4 linked regions of the Schizosaccharomyces pombe genome follow. Changing the gene in region 2 together with the main gene of any one other region gives a genetic interaction. Each region holds a gene or a part of one and is shown on either strand. Other genes may lie near its edges.

Region 1 (5,470 bases), on a different chromosome or scaffold from region 2:
CCATTGTTTACTTCTTGGAAAAAGACCCATTAACGGATTGTAACAAAATTCCTTATCTCTTTAAAAGACCATACCCTACCCTAAATGTGCTTTAAAAAAACAGTCACTGTGTAGACCTCAACACAGAAACGACAAGTTGCAGCGTGCAAATTCCTCACAAAATGCTTATTCCCAAGGAGAACCGCAAGGCCATTCATCAAGCTTTGTTCCAACAAGGTGTCCTCGTTGCTAAGAAGGGTAATGTCTAAAAAACGTCGTAGACCAAGGTTTAACTAACAAGCGTAGATTTCAACCTCCCCAAGCACCCCGAAGTTGGTGTCCCCAACTTGCAAGTCATTAAGGCTTGTCAATCCTTGGATTCTCGCGGCTATCTTAAGACCCGCTACAATTGGGGATGGTTTTACTACACCTTGACCAACGAGGGTGTTGAATACTTGCGTGAGTATTTGCACCTTCCCGCTGAGGTTGTGCCCGCTACTCACAAGCGTCAAGTTCGTCCTGCTGCCCCCCGTGCTGGCCGTCCTGAGCCTCGTGAGCGTAGCTCTGCTGCTGATGCTGGCTACCGCCGTGCCGAGAAGAAGGATGATGGTGCTGCTCCCGGTGGATTTGCTCCTTCCTTCCGTGGTGGATTCGGTCGCCCTGTTGCTGCCTAAGCCCAAAAAGTTAATATATTCAATTCAAATGTATGCTTGGTAGGATCTTATGTGTGTGTGTACTGTATTAGTAAACCGTAGATGTAAATCAGCTATGCAGATTATGAATTCCTACTAGTGGTTGGATAGTTTAATGAGTGTATTTATGTTTTTTATATTTAATAGCTTGTACTATGATGAGTATGTTTGGTGGTTTTCGCATTATTGATAACGAAGGGAAATAACGGTTCAAGCGATCGAATTAATCGTATTCATTATAAAAGTACATTCCAACTGCAGCGTGTATTTTTTACAGTGCGGATATTTAGCATGTCCTTAGTTAATCTCTTGTTGTCCGAGACTTTCCTGCCTTTGTAGAACAAGCCCATCCCGTACATACAGTATTGATAATCCGGTTTCTCCTGTAAGGTACGATGGCATAGTAAAAGGATCGAGAGCATCTTGACGACATATGTCTTTCAAGCCCTCCAAAATATGTTGGCCACGAAGTTGCATAACTACTAATGGCCGTTGTTCAGTAGGATTATAAGATTCTACATTTTCTTCAAGAACCTTATCTTTCTCAGTGCTCTTTTCTATATAGTCATGATCAAGAGTAATAAGTAACTTATCAAGCACTTGAGAATGTGTGTCACCAAATCGTCGCTGAATAGCCATTTCACGGTGCTTTTCACAATTTTGAGTGCTATCCGCAATGAGGGAACTGTTATCGTCAGAAAGGATCGGTCGTGTATCTAATGGAGACCGATCTACCAAGTTTTTTGCGTAAATTTGCCATGCTCCTAAGGCATTTGCTTCCTTATTAACACCAACATTGGTGCAAAAGGTAGTTAAGTTTTTCGAGACTAAGTCTATGGGTCGAAGGGCAGAACCAGCTTTAAGTCTATAAAGTAGCCTCGATAAGCATTGTAGAAATAGAGAATGACACACATCATTTCGTAAAAATATGTTGTGTAGTAAAACATCTGAGTCATCCATGAGACCGAGGTAAAATATTTGCTTGGAAGATGGGTACGTGTGCAAAGCAGTGGGTCGTTTTGAATCCCATAAAACGAGACGGATAAAAGTAATAGGTAATGTTTCATGCCTGGAGATATATGTGTGCTGTTAAAACGGTTAGCAAATATTTCCATGATTATGTTTCGCTGTTCACGTACATATACAAATATGCTTTCTAATTCCGACTTCAGTAGTTCTAAGAAGACAAGAGGATTGGGTAAAACGGTCTTTTCGGCGGAATGATGAACTTTGGAAGCAGTCCACCGCATACTGACAAATCCATGAGCGAGAGCTGTGAATTGATATTAGAAAGCAATGAATAGTTAAGGTGTGTCAACAAAAATACATACCCAATATCTCCAGCTGTGCAATTTGGCCCAAGTAGAATCCATTAGGCCAATCGTACACAAGCATTCGATGAATAATGCTGCGTTTGAGCATGCTCTTTGGAACATTTTTATAAAATGCTTCGGGATTCCACTCTTCATCGTCCAACATATCTTCTAAATTGATGTCTTTGGCATTTGGTGGGTATGTTTGCTTCTGAATCCATTCTACACACAATTTTACTAAGAAATCCCTAGGAAATCGATTTAATAGCTTCTGGATCTTCTTGTCATGCTTGATTCGAATATTACTAGACAATTCAGTACGCATAGCGGTCCTCCTTTTTGAATATCTTATGTTTACGACAAGGAGCCACAATATATCAATCGTTACCGTGGACTAATTTTTTATCCTCTCAAACACTGATCACTAACGAAGGATTTCAGATATATTTGTTTTGTTAAATATTAATGTTACAAAAGAATGGTCTTTGAGATCATTTGGCAGCACCAGCTGTAAGCAAATTTAACTCTTCCCAAGTTCTTCTAAGGCAATGGTTTGGATGGTGGTGAAGGGAGTCCTTGCCCAGATTGCAGAAGTCTTGCTGTTTTCTCGGCAGCTGCTCTATTAGCATGATATCGAATTCGCATTTGGAAAATATCTCGATGAAGATTATAGTGTTTGGATTGGGTCTGTGTTGAACATTCTTTAGAAGATGAGGAGGAGGAGTTGATAGATTCATTCTCGGCAGACGCCGAATCTACATCTTTCTCCTTCTCTGTCTGCTGCACTTCTAAATTTGGTTCCTGTTTTGATTCTTGTGGATTACCGGTCGCATCCTTCTCTACGTTTTTTGACTCATCCTTAGCTTCTAGTTTGTTGGTGTCGATTTTGTTAGTCACTGATTTAATCACGGAAATTGGTGTAGCAAAACCTCGATCTTGCAAATGATTGTAGCAAACATAAAAACTATTTTTATTTTGTTGGTTAAAAAAACTTTTTCCTTCCCATTAAATTATGTATCAACTCAAACCATGAAGGTTTTCACAATGATTACTTACAAATCTAATTTAGTTTTTGTTATTAATACCCATTTTGTAGGCTTGTAACACTAGAAACGATAATAGTGTATTAGAAAATGGTGCTTCATCAAGGTAATGGGCAATTTTTAATTGCTGTTGTTTCTTACAATAAAGCATGGTTTTTTATCTACTTCTGAAACTTGTCTCAATGTATAGAAATTTTCAAATTTATTGGACATCGGCATTTTCTTCAACATTACTACTTTATATTTGAGGTAAAGAAGAGAGAAGGGGTGAATCGCCTGAATTACACTCACACATCAATTTATCTAATAGACGGTTCAAGCACCACAGAATACTTAATTTATTTAATTTATAACTAAAATAAAAATAAAATACTCAATCTATTTTATTGATTTTTTTTGCAATTGCCCAAACATTGTATAGACAACTAAGCAACATGTTGACTTTTTTTGCTCAGATCAAAAAAAATAAATAAATAAATAAAGGCTTTAGTGCAACGTACACCCACATATACATATTCAATTAAAAGGCATGTTAACAAAACTTCTTATTGAAAACCTTCCTCGGACAATGAATACAACTCGTAAAGTCTATTCAGCCTATTGTAAAGGGAAGGTAAAATAAAACACTGGAAGCAATTCCAAAATTTTCTATTGATCAACTTGTTTGTTCATAAAAATTGTAGCAAGTAAAAGGTGGAAACCTAAAGATGGAAAACATTGCAAAAATCAGTGATTTAGAAATGAAACGCATAAGTAATGACAATACAAAGATAAATAAATATTTAGAAATGATAAAGAAAAGGGACAAATTCTTATCAACAATGGAAAAATGAAAAAAAAAAAGGAAAAACGAGTGACCGGATAAACCAGCAATGTACAGCAACAGCATAAGTGGAATCTTATACCCAGATACCTTTATCTAAAAGGAATAGCAAGTTAAAAAATAAGCAACATTGTGCAAGAAAATAACCAGCAAGCAACATAATAATAATAAGGAACCGAGAACCAAACACATATAATAATAATAATAAAAGACGAGCCTCCATAAATAACACACAAACATCCGTTCATACCTCATCTCTCACGACTATATGAGGATGCAAATGAACATCTAAAGATTTACAATGACAAAACTTGACTCAAAAAAATAACCATCTGAACAATCCGATAAAACTTGTATGCTTGAAACACGGAAATAGCGGCAAAAAATGGATGAAAAAAGCAATGCGATGCAATTCGATGATGAAGCAAAAAATAAATCAGACATCCAAACTTCACTTCAAAGCAAGTTGCATTTTGGGAGACAGAGGAAATTAATGAATCTCAATGGATTGTTGTGTATGTTGTATAGCTGCGGTTTCCGGTCTCGGTACGATTGAGGGTGGTCTCTGAAGTATCGAGGTTGGAAGAACAGAAGTACTAGCGGTCTTTACCTTTATTAATGATGGCCTACGAACTGGTGAGGAGTTGGGCTGTGAATCGAGCTTTGGATTTGGTTCCGAATTGGGATGTGTGAGCGGCAAAGATTCCGACCTTGATTGAGGTTGCGAACTGGGCATAGAAGCTGGCAAAGAATGCGGTTGGGCCGAATCAGAAGTAACAGCGCTTAGCGTAGGTAGCTCTAACAACTCTTCCGTCTTGCATATTTTAGAAAAGATCTTTTTATCTTTTTCAGGATCGGTATGCGTTTCTGAAGGCTTGGGTACCTTGGAGCCATAAGCAGCAAGTAAAGAAGTAATGACCTCCATTAGTGCCTTGCGAAGACGCACACTATCGACAACAGAATGGTCCAAGTTCATGTCCACTTTGGGTACATAAGGCTTTTGCAATAGACGATACATGAGGATACGAGTATTCTCGCAAACATGAAGGCCGCAATCACAATCATTAATTTGTTGTGGAGTCTTCATGTGTCGGACACGGAATTCCTTTTTAAGGAGAATGCCAAGGTTTTTGATGGCAAGGTTGCAGTCATTGGTATTACCATTGGACATGGAGTCATAGTACCAGCCCAAACCTTTTTCAACGGAGACGACTAACAAACTCCAATGCGAGCCGCTCTCGATACCACACTCATTGGTATCGTTGATAGGAAGAAAGATAAACGATGCATCAAACATGGCAGGAGGTAAGGCAGACTCGATTTCCAAAGGATTAGGAGCCTGGGCCAAAAAGAAGACCATAGCAGGACGAAGCAAGTATATTTGTTGACTCTCCTCCTTGGGACGTTTGAGCAAGACTTGACGCAACATAATTTCGTAAAAGAAATCGATGTTTGTATCAAGGATCCAATACCCAGGACGAAAGTGGTCGACGTCGTTTTTGCGAAGGGAAACCTCGAAATATTCAAGCCAGATGCGCGTAAACGGGGAACCGCAAGACTTTGATCCGCTGCTGCTGCTGCCAAACAAGGAACGGAAAAAGCCCTTTTTCTTCTTTTTGG
Region 2 (4,900 bases):
AAGTTACAGAGTTGATTAACGTGTAGGTGATAACACTAGAATCACTTGTAGCGGTTACAGTAGTAAACACACTATCAGTAAGAGTGGAAGATGTTTCCACTAAATAGCTGGACGAGCTTGAAGCTGGAGAAGACAAAGTGGAGGGTGTTGCGGGGATATCAGTAGAAAAGGAAACAGTAGCTTCTGAAGTACTAACAGGAAGTGTACTCGAAGCAGTAGTTGAAGCTGCAATGTCTACGGATGAAGAAGTATATGCCGATTCGGTAGAAGTGATACTTACAGAAGTAAGTGTTTCCGAACTGCTAACAGCAGGGGAATTAACAGATGTAGTCAAAATCACTGTATTTGTGGATGAAGATGAGTCACTGGGTTCACTGGAAACATAACTAACAGAACTAGCTACTTTCGATGAAACGCTAGCTGATGGAGAAAATACGGGTGTTGATGAAGGGCTCATGGATAATGTGGAAATTTGAGAGCTAACAGCCGTACCAGTAGGTGAGTTGATAACAGATGAACTAGTACTAGAAGAAATGTCTACTGTAGAAGTGAAAGCTTGACCACAAGACAACGTAACATATTCTGTAACAGTTTGAACTCTGTCAACGTATTCCGTAACGGTGGAAGTAGGATTGGAAGAAGCTGCATTATTAGAATTGCCAACAGAGTCAATTAAGTCTTGAATGGAGGAGTTGGAAGACCCGATAACACCAATTATAGTAATGTACTTGGCATCTAAGGTACTTAGAATCTCAGAAGCAGAGGTTGAGTTATAGATATTGCCAACTTCGAGAGGGCTTGATTGGCAAGATTCTAAATTAGAAGATGAAATTAAACCTACTGACCGACTGACGTTAAAAGTGTCATCAAGTGCAGATGGGGATGCCCAGGAAAATCCTAGCAAAACGAGAATAAAGAAAGCCAAAGCAATCGACATGACGAATTATGGGAAGATCAAGCGATAAAAGAAAAATTATAATTAATAATGTTTTTCAAAGAAGAAGAAAAGAAAGTATTAAAAAGAAGCAAGACTCAAATCAAAAGATAGATAAAAAATTGAGAAATGCGATGCAATGCAATGAGAAGTTATTTCAAAATTCTACTAGTCTGAAAAAAACTAAAAAATGAAAAAGCAAAAGAGTGTCAAAAGGTAATGAGGAATAAGTAGACGAGCGAATGGCAAAATCAGAGAGGTTTCAAAAAAATCGAGTTAAGTGATCAAAATTCCTTGCTGAACCTATTTGTCAATTGCAATACTAGTACTAAAACAAAGTCTTCGTCGTTCCCTTCTTTTTTTTCTGATTGCAGTTTCTTATTCAGCTTGCTTTACGAAACCTTCAAATGTAATGACAAATATGGAGCTCTATGCGGTTTTTTATACTTAGGATCCATGGTGAAGGAATACAAAGAAATTCGAGTATTTGAACTATACAATGCTCAAACAATGGTGTAGTGTTTTAAAGAAAGTGCAATTATGGAGTAGTTGAAAGAGTTGCGCTGTACTCAACTTCCTTTGTTTCATCGGCATGCTGTGCTATTCAGGTAACGGGTACGTTTATTGTTGGAGGGGAATGAGTAATTCCTATTGTCATATTCCATATGGTGTAGTAATTCTTTTCATGTGAATGCTTCGGTAAAGAAATTGTTCAAAACAAGCATACCGTAAGAAACTGAAACATGAAACGACTCGGTTTTGCTTCAAGTTATAGAAGACTGTGTTCATGAGACTAAGTCACAAAGAGCCAAAAATAGTTTATTTTACAATACGTTCCCTATCGTGTCCAAATTGTTCTGTCGTTTTGTTTAACATTTCTATTGTTCTCGCTATTGTCTGTTTCACTTGGCACTTAGTAAGAATGCAAACAATGCCGAGATCAATTCATCCTTTGTTCTAATTATTTAGCGATGATTTCTCCAATTCTATGTTGTAATGGAATTGATAATAGTTACTAGTTGGTACAATAGACACTTTCTAAAAGAATTCTATTGAGGAGCTGCGCTACGTATCCTCATATTTACATGAATGAACAATCAAAATATGGCTAAACTTGTCGAACAGAACGCTTTCAACTAATACGAATTATTTGTGAAAGAAAGCCAAAGAATCGTCACGCTTCTTTGGGGCGATGTGACAAATGGAATGCTCAACTTATGGGATTTTTTTATTAAATTGTGCAAATGATGCAAAGTAATATTCACCAAAACGAGTATCCTTATTTTCTTTATTTTAGGTATCGTTGATTTCTCATTTTATCATTAAAAAAGTAATGTGGAATTGCTATGTTCGTTGGAATCCACAAGGTATCGCAGCGTTCGTTATTATTACAAAATTGTATGTCTATTAATTTTATGTATTTTAGAAATTCTTAAACAGTATAGAATTAGTGCAAGAACAGATAAATCAGTCTTTTGGAGCAATGAGTTAATTTACAAGCGTTAAGCGACCATCATTGAAATTACACTTTTGCATAAACTATTCAAAAGAACTTTTCATTATCTTTTTTTTTTGATCTCTAAGTTCTAACAGAAATTAAATCTAAAAGTCATTCGTGAATTAGTTACGAAACTCTAATACAAGTCTACAGTTATGGCACCGTTCACTAATAAACCACTACTGAAATCGCTTTCCTACTAATAACTGAAAATCTCCAATTTTTGCCTTAAGAAATTTATTGGAAAGGATTTTTTGAACAAAATTTCTCAATACCAAATGATTTTAACTTTCAATCATGTGCAATCGTCAACCGAAAGCCGTTGACCTGCCTCCAAACTATTCTTGTCCACATCTGTTGTCTTTTCAGTCTGTCGAATTTAATACTAATCCTACGGCTTGTGATGATGTGTTTTGTAAAAGAATTGAGTCCGAAAAGAAGTACAACGACTTTTTGGAATCTCTTTTCAAAAAATATGGACGCGACACTTCTGATATAGCTGATGAAGTAGATCTTGCAACTGGTGAAATTATTGTTAATAATGGACATCTAGAAGCTTTAAAAACAAAAGATGATATATGGGATCCTACATTTAACAACCTTGAAATCTCAGCGTCAAATGGATACGAAAAAAAATTAGACTCAAGCATTGGCAACCCAGGGGAAAAAGCTGTTTCACCAGTCCATATAGAGGATTTTCAGTCTCCCCAGATCTATAAATTTAAAAATCTATCACTTCGTGATGAAATGGTGTCAGATTGTGTGTTTGCAGATGAAGTTCCTTTAGCTTCACTTTTTGTGGAAAATGTTTGTAATGAAACTATACCCTCTCAGTCATGCGTGAGACTAAAAATCAATGATAAAACAAGAAAAGTTGATGCTTCAGCTTTGGAAAAAAAATCTTGTCTGTTGCCAAACTCATCAGGAACATTAACAGATCAGCGTGGTTTGGATACAATCAAGCATAAAAGCATAGAACAAAATGAGATTTTGCACGTCATCTCTGATACTTTATCTTCACCGAGAAGAAGGAACCCTTTATTATCATCTCCTAAAACTCCTTTACGTAGATCTTTTTCTAAGTCAAAAGTCCGAAACTCCAATTCTACAAAACGAAGAAACTTTATTTCATTAATTTCAATGATATCCCCTCGACCTAATCTTTCTACCCATCATTTTAATCTTGGTTTTCAACCTTTAAGTCAACAAACTTCGTTCTCAGGAAGTAGCACTCAGAACCCTCATTCTTCCAGCACTTGTAAAAAAGCATTTTGTTTCCAATGCATTTCTGAGTCAAAAAAATGTTGATTCAGCTTTAAACCACTTATTCTCCCATCTTCTTCGCTTGCCATACCATGGCTTTTAATGACCTATTTCTTCGAACATATATTTATTTTTTGTTTTCATTTACAACAAATTGTCTTTCGAGTTATCATGTTACATTCGAATATATATTTTTTTACTAATATATTAATCATTCGTTGAGTTTTTACGTGATCTATGCTTTTGTAGTATGGCAAATGAGTACACATAATTGTTCTCCACTCTTCATGTTATAAGTAAAAATCGTAGTCATAAAGATATCTAGCCGAAATATCCATTCAGTGTGTTGAACAAAGATTATCTTTAAATATCGCTTAATGAGTACAATATTTCAATTTATAACACATGTACCTGTTTAAATGACTACTTACACCACTACAAATTTCTGTCATTGTGAATCATTATGGAGTCGAGTGTAAAATGTATGTTAAATGCCGCATTACTAAAGCTTTATCTATAAACTAACAATTAAAGATGCGCAGGAGTTCGTCCAACGGTATTACTCATCTCTTGATACGAACAGAAATGGGATCGCAGAATTTTACAGAGAAAATAGTTTGATCTTATGGAATGGAAAACCCATGCAAGTAACCGAATTTACCTCTATGATAGTTAATCTTCCATACTCCAAAACTAAAGTTGAGGATTTCGATAGTCAACAGGTCATGGGTAATGATATGAATATCATAATTGTTGTTTCAGGAACAATACGTTTCGATGGAAAAAAACCTCATGTATTTTCGTATGTCAGTTTTTATTGTATTTACCTTCTTGTACTAAGATCCTCTACTAACTTCCTTTAAGAGACAATATAGTTCTACAACAGGAAGAATCAAAGTATTATATTGCCAGTCAAAATTTTAGAATTATGAGTGAATAATACGTATCCAAAACAAAGATTTCATTTCGTTTAGAGTTTGTATTAATTTGCCGCAGCAAGCTTATCTGAGCGACACATTCCCTAATCCCTCATACTTCTTTAGAACACAAAATTAACCACCACCTTACAAATATGAAATATTGGAAGTATTTGTCTCAGCTGACTATCAGAAGGCCTCTTACATACAACAATGCTCTTCTGTATAGGAATAGGTTTCCTAGTATATTAACATGGAAGAGAAGTGCGACTACGCAACCTGACGACA
Region 3 (8,879 bases), 1.3 Mb from region 2:
CGTAGCTTAGATTGTACAGGTTCAGCTATACCCTCAGCATTGGCACCCAAACCTTGTCCTTGTTTATACCCCATTTTTTCCAACATTTTTGCGCCAAATCCAGTAGTATTAAACTTCATCTTTGGAATATTTTTCGCCTGAGAAACCTCATCATTTTTATTCTTTAACTGTGGAATTGAATGCGCCTCCAATAAATCATCTGCTGTCACTTGCTTATTTGCTTTAACTTGTTCAGATTTCTCAACAAAAGAAATGTTTTTTCTACGAAGTCTAGCACTTCCAATCCCCGAGTTATGAAAACCATCTTCATCTTCTTCACCAAATATTCCTAGCATGTCCCTTTCTTTTTGCTGCCCACGAAAAGATGGACGAAGACGTCCTTCTTCCAAAATTGAATCACCATCTGAATCCTCGGAAGATGAATTCATATCGACATACTCATTTTGCATATCAACCCAAGAATTCAATATAAATAAAAACCAATGAAAACCGAAATTTTCTATTTTGGGTCAGTTCTCCAGTGGGTTAAATATGGATGTCATATAATGAGTTTTTGCGCGTTACGTTCTTAAGCTTAAGAACACGCGAAAACGTCATTATTTATTTTATCTTGTCAGCAATACTACACTACGCTATGATACACTACGTTGCGTATCACTATATGTCATATGTTGGAATACTAGCTAAGATCCGTTTATTGATAATCACGGGTAACTATCCGTCTATATACATAGTTACCCGTTGATAACAACTATTTAGAAATATTATAAATACCGTTACAACTGAACCTCGTTCCTCAGTTCAGTTATGAGCTATATTAGTGATAGGTAACATTATAACCCAGTTAATACAATACCTATACTCAGTTGCTACTTATACAACCTGTGTATTGTAATATAATAGACCACAAGGAAAACTCACCGCAGTTCTACGTATCCTTAAATCAGATACCAAACTGCGTAGCTTACATATCTGAATAAGGACATTAGTTGCGCAAAATATCTATAGCTCTTCAAAAAATATCAAAATATTAAATTACAATACAAAGCTTTTTATTATAATAAAATTAAAGTCGTTTTTTTTATTGGAAACCAGAAATAATAATTATGCAGCTAACCTATTTTATTATCTGTTTACAAACTCTTAAGAAACATTAAAAAGGGCATTATACCAAAAAATTCATATTTTACTATTTGGCTTTCTTAACATCATTGGAAACATCCATACCAGCGTCTGAACTGGACCGTTTAGGAGGAGAATTAGTGTCAACAGAGTGAGTTTTGGCGATTAACTTTTTCTCTTTAACTTGAGCTGCTGGGACTTCAGAATTGCTTTTATTGGAATCAGTGTTTTTAGAAGCTTCCAAACTTAAAATTGCAGGGCTATCTTTTTTCTTCGATTGCTCCAACTCTGCTCGCACTCTAGCTAAGTTCTTTTCCAGCATGCTCAACTTCAACTTGTTACGCATCTCGAGTTCTTTTCGGATGTTATCTAGTTGTTTTTGATGCGACTGAGCAACTTGTTCCTCAACATCCTTCTGTAAAATTTCTCTGCGCTTTTCCCATTCCTTTTGCACAAAAGTAGTAAAGTCGGCAGTGGAAGTCGAAAAGTCAGATATGGACTCGTTGAAGATTACTTGAAATGTAACTGATAACATCTCTTCTGTCTTTTTTAAGTTTTCCAAATCTTTAGTATCAGCATGTACCGAAGCGGACTCTGCTTCCTCGGATGACACAACTGTCTCTTGCAAAGCTTTCACTTGATCTTGTAAAACCTGATTTTGTTTCCTGAGTAATTCGTTTTTCTGTAGCTCTTTTGCAATTCTCGAACGTAACCTCAAAACTTCCTGTTGCATGACTTTCTTCCTTTCCATTTCTTCTTCGTTGGGTATTTCAGTATCCTTACTGGTTCCCTCAGATTTATTACTATTTTGTCTGACCTTCTCAAGCTCCTCCTTCGTAGTATTTAAGATATCCATAATTTCACTTAGCTTTCGCTGTGTAGAAGATAGTTCTTCCTTAGTGCTATTGAATTCTTCCAGTGACACCGTACTTGGTTCAGACTGTGTAGTAGCAGTGGGGGTTGCAGAAGGTTTGTTGAGTTGTTCATTGAGCTGATGACATTCCGCAACCTTGGCTTCTAATTCAGAAGTCTTTTGCGAAAGTTGTTGACGTATTTGATTGTGCTTTTCTAAGCTCTTGTTAACTACCTGCTCATATTTAGTTCGCCAAGCAGCTGCTAGTTTTGTATTCTTCAACTCTAATTGTTCAATCTTGGATTGGTTTTGCGCTCTCTCATTTTCCAAATCTTCGCTTTTTGATTTAACAGTTTCCAATTCAGATTTCAAATGACCAATTTCTTGATTTAACTCCTCTATTAAGTTTTCTTTGGAAACAAGTTCATTCTTTAAGCGTGAAGCATCACTAGACGTAGATGTGCTACTGTTCAAAGATAGTAATATTTCTTGGTTATGACGCTTGTATTCTTCGTTGCTGTTTTCAAGCTTTTTTACAGCTGCTTTCTCTGTTTGAAGCTGTGATTCTAGTTGTTCTTTATTAAGTCTAAAATTCGCCAAATCAGTTTTAAGAGTTTCTATTTTCTCTCTTAACTCTGTGATAACTTCCTCGTTCCTTTCTAAATTTTCTCGGAGAGATTTGTTGCTCTCATTTAATAAAGCAACCATGTTTAGATAATTTGAACGTTCCCCAACGGATTCAGAAGTACTGCTAACATCCTTTTCCGTTATACCTCTTTGCAGATCGGCGATAACTCGATTCGATGATTCAACGGTTCGCTTGAGTTTCTTATTTTCAAGGAATAATAATTGTCGTTGGCATGAAATAATCTCCATTTCTTTGGATATACGCTTCACATGATTCTGTAAATCTGATAATCCTAATTTCATAACAGAATCTAAATCCGGGGATGGGCTAGTTATTTCTGCAAAGTTGAGATTGGAAGATTGAAGTTGGGTTAAAAGCATTGCGTTTTGCTTTTTGAGGACATAAACTTCCTGTCTCAAAGGATCTTCTTTTTCACTAATGGGAAAGGGCTGAGATTCGTTTATACCGGCCTTTAAGGCTATTTCTTTATTCAAATCTTCAACCTGTTCTAATGCCTTCGTGTAATCCTCGCGCAGTTTTTGAAGAGTCGATCTAGCATCGGCATGTCTTAAAAGTTCCTTTTCATAATCTTCACGAGTTTTTCTTAAATCTTCAGTTACCAACAACAACTGTTGTTTATAATCATTCTCCTTCTCTAAATGTTGCTTTTCAGCATTTCGGTGTGACGAAAGCTCATTGTTAAGATGCTTATTTTCCTCTAAAAGCAAGGCAACTCTTGTTTCGCTATCTTTAGTAATATTCTCACAGCGTAAAGAAGAAGAAGCTATCTCATCTTGTAGAATAACTATCCTTTGTTCAAGAGAAGTGATTTTTAAATGATTTTTTTCCAAGGACTCTGAAGTTTGCAATCGATACTCATCATACTCAGTTTTAACTCTTTCAACCATTTCTTCGGCGAGTTTGCTTGCGGCCTGTAACTGTTCAATATTCCTTAAAGAATAATTGTATTGGGATTCTAAGGAAGTATGTTTAGATTGCAAGTCACTAAGCGATGATTCTAGCAAAGCTTCCCTTTCGCTATAGGACGTATTTTTTTGCTGTGTAAACTTGGCTTCCAAAGTAGAAAATCTTTGTTTTTCAAGTTCAATGACGCCGTTTAATTCTTGGAGTTTTATTTCCATCATTTGTTGATTATCTAACAATTTCCTGTTGTCTTCACTTAACGATTGTTTTTCGAGCATTAATGTCTTAATCCTGCTGGAGTACTCAATTCCGCTCTTTTCCAAAGATTTCTGTAGAGAATGAAGATCATTACTCATCTTTTCATTTGACTCCTTCAACTTCTGCAAGGAAAGGCTTAAGCTTTCCTTCTCAGATTCAAATTTTACTTTTCTAGCAGCATCAGATAGCTGTTGCTGGTTAAGAAAAGTTTGAAGATCTGATACAAGACTCATTAGTCTCTCGCGCTCAGCCAAAAGTTTATCGTTTTCAGATATTAAACGCTCTTGCGTCCTTTTCCGTAAATCTTTTTCACCCTTCGAAGCATTTAGTTCACCTTTTAATCTTTCAGCAAGTGAGTTAACATGTAATAATTCTTCGGCAAATTTACTGGCTCTCTGATCCTGTCGACTAATTATATCCTGTAAATTTTGATTAATACTACGAAGCTCCTTGGCTTCCTTTTTAAAGGCTTCAACGTCATTATTAGCATTAGTTAATCTATCAGTAGATAACTGCTGCTGATATTTGGAATTTTCTAACTCTTTACGTATTGCTTCCATCTCACTCAACAAATCCTGATTTCGCTTAGACAAGGATTCCTGAATAGCTGTCATTTCGTTACGATAAACTTCGTAATTTTTCTCAAGTTCTCTTGTAGATTCATCAATGGATTTCATTTTGTCATCAATATTGCCCGCGGAAGAATTGTGAGACAAAATACTGCTTCGAGAAGTAGCTAACATTTCTTTCAGTAAATTTCGTTCATTAAGTAAGGACTCATTTTTTATTTTTGACGAATTTAACTCACTTTCCAAATTTTTGATTTGCTCTGAAAGTGTATTTGAATTTTCTTTAACTGCATTGGAAATTTGATATTGGACAGTTTGCTTTTGGATTTCAACATCGCATTCAAGGGCCCGCACTTTTTCCCGCAGTTCTAGAGTTTTCGAAACAGCTTCCTTTATAGATGAAAAATTAGCAAGCTCCTTGTTTACTAGTGTCTCAGATGCAGTAGAGGGATTTTGAGCGTATTCATCAAGCGCAACTTGCACAGTAGCGGGAACGTTTCTTGATTTAGTTTCATTCAAATGATCAAGTTCGGCCATGAGACAAATAACTTCTCGAGAAAGATCACTGCATTGAGTACGAGATGCGGTGAGCTGCAAGTAACAAGCTTCTTGGCGCATTTTGGTCGATAAAAGCTCTGCTTGTACTTTGGTTAGGTTGTTGTTAGATGTTTCCAAAGATTCGCTAAGAAAATTCATATAAATGTTATTCCTAACGATTTCACTCCTCTGTTGTTTGACAACTGGAATCCTTTGTTTAACTTGTTCACAAAATGAGGAGAATTTGTTAGTCAAGCGGTCTAGCTGAAGCTTTAAGCTAGAAACCTTCTGTTGGAGTTTCATATTGTCCGAATATACTTTCGTAAATGAAAATTCGGGATTTTGAACGGCGCTTAACTTTTGCGCCAAAGGAGAAAACAAACCTACACCAGCTGAAACAGAGGTATTTTTATTTTCTTTAACCACTTGTAGTTCACTAACTACACTATCATATTTCTCTTGCAGTTCCCGCAAACTATTCTCCGAAATCAATAGCTGTTGCTTGTTATTATTTAACTCTTCGGTCACATTATTGTATAGACTTTGTTGCGAAGTGAGCTTTTCTTGAAGTGCAGCAACCTCTGATTGCAACTCTGAAGATTTAGACTCCCAAAGAGCTGTAAGTCGTTTCTGAGTTTCCACTTCTTCTTCAAGTTCTTTGATTGAAGTGGGGTCGGTTTCAAGGATTTTTGATATGTTCCCATCGGAGGAATAATTGCTCCGCTTTTGCTCAAAAAGCTGTATTTTTTCGTTAAGCTCTGTATTCTGTTGGGCAAGCCCAGCAAGCTTTTTCTCCAAATCTTGAACTTGACGAGATGAAACTTCTAATTTTTCGCAAACTTTCGAATGATCTGATTGCAAACTAGCCAAATCAGAGACTAAAGCGCTTTTCTCCTGAACGAGTATCTCTTCCTTGACACGACTGCTACTGCTAGCAAACATGTGCTGTTTCTTTCTTTCTTCAATATCAGACAATGCTTGATGCGCACTCTGGACTTGCTCTCCTAAATGTGAATTTTCATTTTGTAGGGCTTCGATTTGATCTTTCGCGATTGAAAGCTGCTCAGAAGCAATCTTAGATTGCTCTTGTAATTCAGAGTTAGCCCTTCTAAGCGACTGGTTCTCAGTAGTCAATGCATCAAAGCGCTTATTTTGATTCTCCAAGTTGGTTTTCAGCGATTCGTTCTCATTTCTCAATACCGATATAAGATTACGTGATTCCTCTGCTTGATTATTAGAAGATTGAAGTTGTTGCTCAAGAAAGTTAATCTTCTTCGTAAGAACATTCTCCTTATGCTCATGGTTGACTTCTTGAAGGACAAGCTGATCCTTTAAAGCGTTTATGTCTTTAACCTTGGTTTTAATAGCAGATATAAATACAGCGAAACCATTGACAGACACCAGGGGTTTTATATCCTCAAAAGATACATCCAAAAACTCGTGTACCAGCTGAATATCATCTTCAAGTCCCCCCGAAGACATTTTCTAGCCTGGAATCAACGTTCGATGACTTATGAAGCACCAGTGTACGTATACGAGAAGTAAGTGATCAACCTCGATGTACAGAAATAATACCACGTTAGAAGAAATGCGACAATTACGTTGAGAAAAACAAATGAAGCAAATTTAAAAATTGTAATTACCGTGAGTATTAAAAAAAAAGCTAAATTTCTGTATTCTTCTCTATCACGCCTTGAACGTATCTTGAGTAGCAGTGCACTATTCGGACCTGTCGTCCACACAACACCAATTTTGGTGACTTTACTAATTATTTAATCAAATATCATCCTAGTGATGTTTGGACAAAACAATTCTTCCGGATTTGGAGGAGGAACCGGTGCTTTCGGTCAAAATAATCAACAAACTGGTGGGTTATTTGGTTCCAACTCCAATACTCCAGGGAACACTTTGTTTGGTTCCCAAAACACTTCTACAACTGGCTTTGGGCAGAACACTACTCAACCCTTGTTTGGATCAAATACGAACGGTGGACTATTTGGAAATAGAAACAACACTACCACGACTGGTGGCACAGGTTTTGGAATGTCCTCTGGGACAGGTATGTTTGGCCAATCCAATACTCCTGCTTTTGGAGGCACGAACAACGCCACAAATCCTAGTGGTGGTGGCCTCTTTGGATCAAATACCGCCAACAACAATGCAAATACTGGAACGTCATTTTCTTTTGGATCGAACGCTGGTTCAACAGGGTTCGGTAACACTGCATCGAATACTGGTACCGGTGGTGGCTTGTTTGGTTCTCAAAATAACGCTGGCAATACTGCTGGAAATACAGGTTTGGTTCGCAAGGTACTGGTGGTGGCTTGTTTGGTTCGTCCACTACACCCGCTACGACCAACGCTTTCGGAACCTCTGGATTTGTCTCAAGCAATGCAAACGCTGTGAATGGTACAGCTAACCCACCTTATGCGGTAACTTCTGAAAAAGACCCTCAAACAAACGGTACTAGTGTCTTCCAGTCTATAACTTGTATGCCCGCTTATAGATCTTATTCATTTGAAGAGTTGCGTTTACAAGACTATAATCAAGGACGACGTTTTGGCAATGCTTCTAGTACGAACACTACTTCTGCATTTGGTTCAACACCCGCATTTGGAGCTTCAACTACTCCGTTTGGTCAGAATTTGTCAGGTACCACAAATAATGCAACACCGTTTGGTACATCGAATGCTACTAATACCACTCCTGGTTCCGGTCTCTTTGGCGGTGGATCTGCATTTGGTAGTAACACTACCAATACAGGGTTTGGTTCTGGAACAAATAATGCATCCGGTGGGTTATTTGGTCAAAACAATAATACCACCTCAACTCCTTCAACCGGTCTTTTTGGTGGCTCTACATTTAATCAACAAAAACCAGCTTTTTCAGGTTTTGGCTCAACCACTAACACTACCAATACTGGTACAGGAACGGGTCTTTTTGGTTCAAATAACGCAACCAATACAGGAACAGGTCAAACTACGGGTGGCTTATTTGGTGGTGCTGCCACTGGTACGGGTACGGGATTTGGTTCTTCTACTGGGGGGTTTGGAAGCAACACGAATAACCAACCCAATTCAGGTACCATGGGTACAGGTTTGTTTGGTTTTGGCGCTAATAATAATACGGCAAATAATAACACCGCTCCAACATCTACTTTTGGTGGTAACAATAGTAGTAATTTTTCCTTTGGTGCCAATAATAATGCAGCCACTAAGCCTTCTGGATTCGGTTTTGGTTCCACGACCACTACTCCTGCCAGCGGAGGTTTTTCTTTTGGGCAAAATGCTAATAATGCTCCCAAGCCAGCTTTTGGATCCACTGCTACCACTGCTCCTAAACCAGCAGGGACAGGTTTGTTTGGTGGTTTAGGAGCCGGTGCTAATACCAACACAGCTACTAATGCTACCGGCACTGGCGGAAGTTTATTCGGAAATGCGAACACTGCGGGTTCTAACATGTTTGGATCAGCCAACTCCAGTACTCCTGGTACCGGTTTATTTGGCTCTACGCAAACGAATAATGCTACTTCCAATACCGGAACCGGGCTCTTTGGATCCAATAATGCAAACACAACCAATACCGGTGGTAGTTTGTTTAATAAGCCTTCTACTACAACTGGTGGTTTGTTTGGTAACACAACTGCTCAACAACCATCTACAACTACATCTGGATTATTTGGGGCTTCTAATACTAACAACCAAGCACAAACTTCAAATTTTGGTACTGGGTTATTTGGTGGATCTCAAGCTGGACAACAGCAACAACCATTACAGGCCAGTATAGACCAAAACCCTTACGGCAATAATCCCTTATTTTCAAGCACAACTTCACAAGTTGCACCAACTAGTATTCAGGAACCGATAGCTTCACCGTTGACTTCTAAACCGACTCCCAAAAAGGCAGCTTCTCTACCACAATTTTGGTTGTCACCTCGTTCGCATAATACTGCACGTTTGGCTTCTATTTCCTCTTTTGCCAAATCGGC
Region 4 (5,569 bases), on a different chromosome or scaffold from region 2:
TCTATAGAACTTGCTAGACTTAAGGATTTCCATATTGCACTTACTGGTGATGTGTTTCGCTGGTTAGTTGATTATGCTCCTCTAAATGTTTTTCACCATATTTTACTGAAAGCACAGATTTTTGCTCGGATGTCACCATCGGAAAAGAATGAGCTTGTCTCGTGTTTCCAAAATTTGAACTATTGTGTCGGATTTTGTGGAGATGGCGCGAATGATTGTGGTGCTTTGAAAGCAGCCGATGTAGGAATATCTCTTTCTGAAGCAGAAGCGTCAGTTGCTGCTCCATTCACTAGTAAATGGTTTGAGATTACCTGTGTACTTGACGTAATTAAAGATGGGCGAGCTGCTCTAGTCACAAGCTTTAGCTGTTTCCAATATATGGCTTTGTATTCTGCAATTCAATTTATCACTGTCAGTATATTGTACACAACAAATTCAAATCTTGGAGACTTCCAGTTTTTGTTTATTGATCTTGTCATTATTCTTCCCATTGCGGTTTTCATGGGGAGATCTCGACCTTATCATCGTTTGGCCCACAAAAGACCTACCGCTAATTTGGTTTCCAAACGTATTTTATCTCCTCTAATCGGTCAAATCGTCCTTATTTGTATAATTCAATATATAACCTTAAGGATAGTACGGAGAGAGCCCTGGTATATACCACCACCTGCGAATAGCTCAGATACGAATATTACAAATAGCGATGTAACTGCTCTGTTTTTAATTTCTTGCTTCCAATATATTTTTATTGGAGTGGTTTTGAGCATAGGACCTCCTTACAGAGAAAAAGTTTGGAGGAACTATTCATTTACAGCTGTCGTTGTTGTTTTGTTGATCCTGACCGTTAAGTTAATACGACTTCAAAATCATAAAAACTTTTTTATGAAACTTTTCCAACTTACGCCTACGTCCAAAAGTTTCCAGAACTTTTTGATCTTCGCTGGTGTTATTTATTATTTACTCGCAGCCAGCGGTCAAAATTACATTTTCATTTCTATGACCAATTTTATATCTCACCTGAATAATCGTTTACTTAATCGCCGAACGAAAGTTTCGAAGAAACTATACAAACGCCTATTCGCAGACTTGCAAAATGAACAAGTTTGAGATATATTATCCCCCTTTTGTTGTTCAATAGATTTTTTTTGCTGTTATGTATAATATTAATAGTTACTATCCTTTTTACTTTATCATGGTCAAACAAAACATTTAATCTCTGGTGTTATAGAAATGTAGTCTGATTTATAACAGTAGTTTTGATGTATTTACAAGGCGACGAAGATCATTTGTTTTAAATTATACAAAAGCTGAAAAAAAGAGAGCAGTCAATTACCATATGACTCTGTATTGTAAAGAATATTGCAAAAAACAGATGAAGCGTAGAAGGATGGAAAAGTGAGTTTGGGTTTTTTTCTATGGCCAACTTTACTCCAGATCCCTAGGAGAAACCTGAACATGATCACGACCCCAAATGACACGAGAAGGGCTCCATATTTGAAGGATATTATCATCGGCAAGACTTCCAACCACCCAACGCTCGTTTGGACACCAACTAAATTCTGAGATGCGATTTGTGTGGCCTCCATGCATAAATAGTAATTCTGGAGAACCATCCTCGGCATCCTCCGGAGTCTGTTCCTCTCCAATCTTTTCTAAATCCCAAATACAAACACGGCGATCAGTTGAACTGGATGCCAATATAGGTTCATCATGAGGTGACCATTCTAACCCATATACCTCATCTTCGTGTCCTTCCAGGGTATGCAACCGTTGATATGGATTACGGAGGTCCCAAAGAGCTACTGTTTTATCAGCACTGGCTGTTGCTAAAAGATAGTCATTAAAGGGATTAATGGCAACGGCATTTATGGCTTTAGAATGAGCCTGAATAACTTTGGGAGCTTCTTCTTCTGGATTTAACCGAGTATCGTGAATTTGCAAAGTGCAATCATCCGACACCGATGCTAATAATGCCTCATGTTGAGGATGAAATTGAACATCGTTAACAATATCAGTATGACGATGATATTTGGCTATGGGGGAAATGACTTTTGTCTCAGAGGAAGTAAAAGATTGTGTCTGAACATCCCATAAACAGATAACTTGATCCTCTGCTCCTGTTGCTAGATTTCCAGGTAAATTCGGGTTCCAGCAAAGACCAAAACCTTCAGCAGTATGGCCCTTCAAAACTGCTTGAGGAAGTGCTTCACCTGTAGTTAAGGCATCATGACAAGTTGTATCAAAAATATAAGCATTTCCTCCTTCTCCCATGGTAGCGATGATTTCAGGCTTTTGAGGCATGTAACGAGCACGATTGACATCGCCATCGTGAGGGATTTTTTGTGAAATTTCAATCGTATACGAGCCCGTGGCCTGTGCTCTTCGAATCGTAGAAGGAGTAAACTCGGTGGTATCCTCATCAAAGTTTGGTAATTGCACAGAAGCAATCTGTAAATAATTTTGATCATTACCAGATGTGTGAGTGCCAAGAATAAGACGTTGAATAGAGTAATCAGTACCTGGTATTCTTCAAGAATCGAGTTAGAAAACTGATGAGATGGTTTGAAGTAAAGGCCAGTATAATCATAGCCTAACTACTTTGGCAAGCAACGTACGTTTTTTTGTCAGGAAGCCATTGAATTGTCAAAGAAGGCCATTCCAAAGCGTGGGTTATTACCAAGTCATACAGAAAGGGAACATTTTGTTTCCAAAGTTTGTATTCTGAAACGAGTATAATCGTCAGTAATTACGGCATAATAATATATATTAATGAAGAATTCCCTTTAATCATACCTTCTTGTATTGTTTTTTGTAAGTCTATCTCGGCATTGAGTTCATTATTCTCGAGAGGTGCATCCTGGACTACTTCCTCTGACATGTTTTGGGCAACTACACAATGGCCCAAACTAGATTGCCAAGTTAAAAGTTTTGGAGTTATAAGTAATTTACATTATTTAAAGATGCCCAAATAAATCTAGCGCACTCTTAAGTCTGAAATAAAAAAAAAATAAAATAAAATTCATGAACAGCGATATAGAAAACAAGTTTCAATGAGCGAAAACAAATTTGAACATGCCTCTAAAAACCATTACTTGATGCCACGTCTCCATGAAAACAGACATTCATAGTGAGAAGAATTCCTCAAACATCGTCTTTATCATGCTCTAATAATTATAAAACCATTTGGCAAAAACAAATATTATAATCTCAGTATACTTTGATAAACAGATTGTCATTATATTTACACTAAAAATAAAACTATTGAACCCAGCCATCAATGGGATATTTATACTGTTGGCTCTACGAATTGTTTTACAGTACACCGTAAATTTATTAAACAAATCATGTAGTATTGCAAACTTTGGGTACGTATCTAAACTAATCAAATATAAACTTTTTTTAATTAAAAATGTCTGGGAGACAATCCCATCCTTGACCCATGGAAAAAAGTCAACGACCGGGAAAGCCACTCAATTCTTCGCTGAAGACGGAACGGATGCATTTTCTTGGTCCGGAGACTCCAACCATCATACTTGACTTCAGGATTGATTTTACTTTACTTATATAACAAAGTAAGTTAAAACCTACTGATGATGGTGAATCATCAACTGAACAGACCCTATATATAGTAAATTTGTTGTGACGGTTTTTACCTTAGGTTAGGGTATTAGAAACGATGTTCTGGAGACTAAGTAAAATTTCATATGTAAACAATGGCTGAAAAGAGAAACTTGTGAAATGACTATGAGTTTTGGCTGATTTTAATTTATATGATTAGCTAGCTTTAATAGCACGTAGTCAGACTTTTGGGTACTTGTCGTGGAAACTTTAACATGCTAACTTGATAAATTATTCGATAACAGTACAATTCAAATCGTGTCTCTTATTTCTTTTAACCTCATCATAGCAATTTACTGATTTTAATTTAAAATATTTATTAAATATAGTTGTGAATTAAAAAAAAAAAATTCCCAGATGAGTACTTTCTTTCTAATGTTATTTATTTTGATATACTGAGGAATTTGTATACCGCATTGCCTTAAAATGCATGCCAACAGTGGTCTAGCTCGTTATTCGTCTCGACTTTTTTTTGGAATAATGCTTGCGTTTGCTAAGTATTTTGAGGAGGCAATTAATATCAGTATATCAATTATAAGAGAGGAATTTAGTATAATTGGAGTATATTTGCACGTTTTGAGTTGTTGATCGTAATCTTATTACTTCAGATGTTTTCATAGCGACTTCTGGTACCCATTGTATATTTATAATTATTGTAACAGTTTTTAACATTGCATTCTTTTTTTTTCTTGCTAAAGTAAATTCATCAAAATTTAGAGGTATTTCTATGAAAGATCTATCCATATCATGTAAATTTTTGTGTTGCCTACATAATCGAGCATCCAAACCTTGGTTGTCGGATACACCTTAATTAATCGGGGCACAGAAGAAATTGAAAAAAACAATAAGCAAAATAATTAAATTTTATGAACCGCAGTCTTAACAGTCATTATTATTAACCTGCTACTTCAAATGCGGTTTTGTTAATGACAGTAAAAAATACAAACACTTCAAAGTATTCAAAGATGAAATTTTCGGTGTGCATAAGCGTAAATAATCACAAAACTGAGAACAAACAGGTCATCAGTAAAAAAAGGCAAAATTTAGCCTTTAGGAAACTTTTTCTCTCTTTTTTTTGAACAAACGGATAACATCAGGGATTCGATATCTAGCAATAATAAAATAGTAACGTAGAAAACATTAACTAATAATAAATATACAAAAGATGTGTTGAGGCAAAGTCTTTCAATTCAATCAAATTAAATTGGTTTATTCCTAGGAGCGATATGATTTTTTTGGATTTCACGATTTTCTTTATCATTCTCCTCATGCTCTGGTGGATGGTGAATGTCACGAAGCCTTCGTAGTACAGGAGGTATAACATAATCTTTAACTGTGTCTGCCCAAATCATGTCCAAGTGTTCATAGCTATCAACCTTAACATGCTCCACCTCCGCAGGCAAAGCATTCAACATCGCTTGGATATCAACGAGTGAGTCGCTGCCTCCCCAAATAAGATAAATAGGGGTGCGAATATTATTTGTAGGGAATTTGGCAGCTTTGTAATATTTGAGGAAATAGTCATGACCAAGCTGGTCATTATCATACATTCTAAATTCTGCGCTTCTCATGATTTGAAACCAATGCACAAGGCACTTTACACTAGTATATGAATACAAATGGGCGAATGAAACCAAGCGTTGATAGGAAGAAATGTTTTGGCAAGACCAGTTAAATAACTGAGACAAACAGTATGCAAGGACTGCATCAAAAAATTTTGGAGCTGGATAAAAATGTCAGTGAAATTATTAAAAGAAAAAAACCGTACCTAAAAAGCTTTGCCAGAATCCGGCAGACGGCAAAATAGATTTTCGTCCGAAAAGGAAAAATAATATGGAAGGTCTGGCTTTTACAAAGGCATCTACAACTCTGTTATGTAAACCTTTTGGACTAATTGCAGGTGCTAACGCTATCAAAGAGTTGATTTTGTCATTCAACAGGGGATGGATAC

Evidence for each region.
Region 1: of scm3 (region 2) and mis15, extra expression of one is lethal in a mutant of the other (dosage lethality), as found in Schizosaccharomyces pombe (one study listed by BioGRID).
Region 3: mutations in scm3 (region 2) and alm1 are lethal when combined (synthetic lethality), as found in Schizosaccharomyces pombe (one study listed by BioGRID).
Region 4: mutations in scm3 (region 2) and mis16 are lethal when combined (synthetic lethality), as found in Schizosaccharomyces pombe (one study listed by BioGRID).

What each region holds. Positions count from the first base shown.
Region 1 is NC_003423.3:1,447,847-1,453,316, forward strand, and holds mis15 (kinetochore protein Mis15 ), read right to left. Parts: upstream 2,525-5,470; 5' UTR 2,310-2,524; coding exon 2,003-2,309; intron 1,945-2,002; coding exon 1,811-1,944; intron 1,758-1,810; coding exon 969-1,757; downstream 1-968. Other genes in the region: rps1002 (40S ribosomal protein eS10), read left to right, coding at 162-237, 286-653; SPOM_SPBC32H8.01C (uncharacterized protein), read right to left, coding at 2,525-2,948, 3,041-3,090, 3,169-3,258; NEDD8 protease Nep2, read right to left, coding at 4,341-5,470.
Region 2 is NC_003424.3:1,859,205-1,864,104, forward strand, and holds scm3 (CENP-A histone chaperone Scm3), read left to right. Parts: upstream 1-2,602; 5' UTR 2,603-2,729; coding exon 2,730-3,740; 3' UTR 3,741-3,928; downstream 3,929-4,900. Other genes in the region: cell surface adhesion protein for conjugation Mam3, read right to left, coding at 1-937; mRNA export receptor Nxt1, read left to right, coding at 4,159-4,177, 4,230-4,558; protein dpc13, read left to right, coding at 4,768-4,900. UniProt on the Schizosaccharomyces pombe protein: Centromeric protein that plays a central role in the incorporation and maintenance of histone H3-like variant CENPA at centromeres.
Region 3 is NC_003424.3:3,190,343-3,199,221, forward strand, and holds alm1 (nucleoporin Alm1), read right to left. Parts: upstream 6,426-8,879; 5' UTR 6,374-6,425; coding exon 1,190-6,373; 3' UTR 1,105-1,189; downstream 1-1,104. Other genes in the region: ntr1 (RNA-binding splicing factor), read right to left, coding at 1-449. UniProt on the Schizosaccharomyces pombe protein: Maintains the proteasome and its anchor cut8 at the nucleus envelope and is required for kinetochore component proteostasis. Proper kinetochore stoichiometry ensures the correct attachment of kinetochores to spindle microtubules during cytokinesis.
Region 4 is NC_003421.2:581,444-587,012, reverse strand, and holds mis16 (histone H4 chaperone, CENP-A recruiting complex CENP-A chaperone Mis16), read right to left. Parts: upstream 2,888-5,569; 5' UTR 2,879-2,887; coding exon 2,794-2,878; intron 2,722-2,793; coding exon 2,616-2,721; intron 2,544-2,615; exon of another isoform or gene 2,528-2,543; coding exon 1,426-2,527; 3' UTR 1,120-1,425; downstream 1-1,119. Other genes in the region: SPOM_SPCC1672.11C (P-type ATPase P5 type), read left to right, coding at 1-1,107; SPOM_SPCC1672.09 (triglyceride lipase-cholesterol esterase), read right to left, coding at 4,818-5,341, 5,387-5,569. UniProt on the Schizosaccharomyces pombe protein: Regulatory subunit of the histone acetylase B (HAT-B) complex. The complex acetylates 'Lys-12' of histone H4 which is required for telomeric silencing.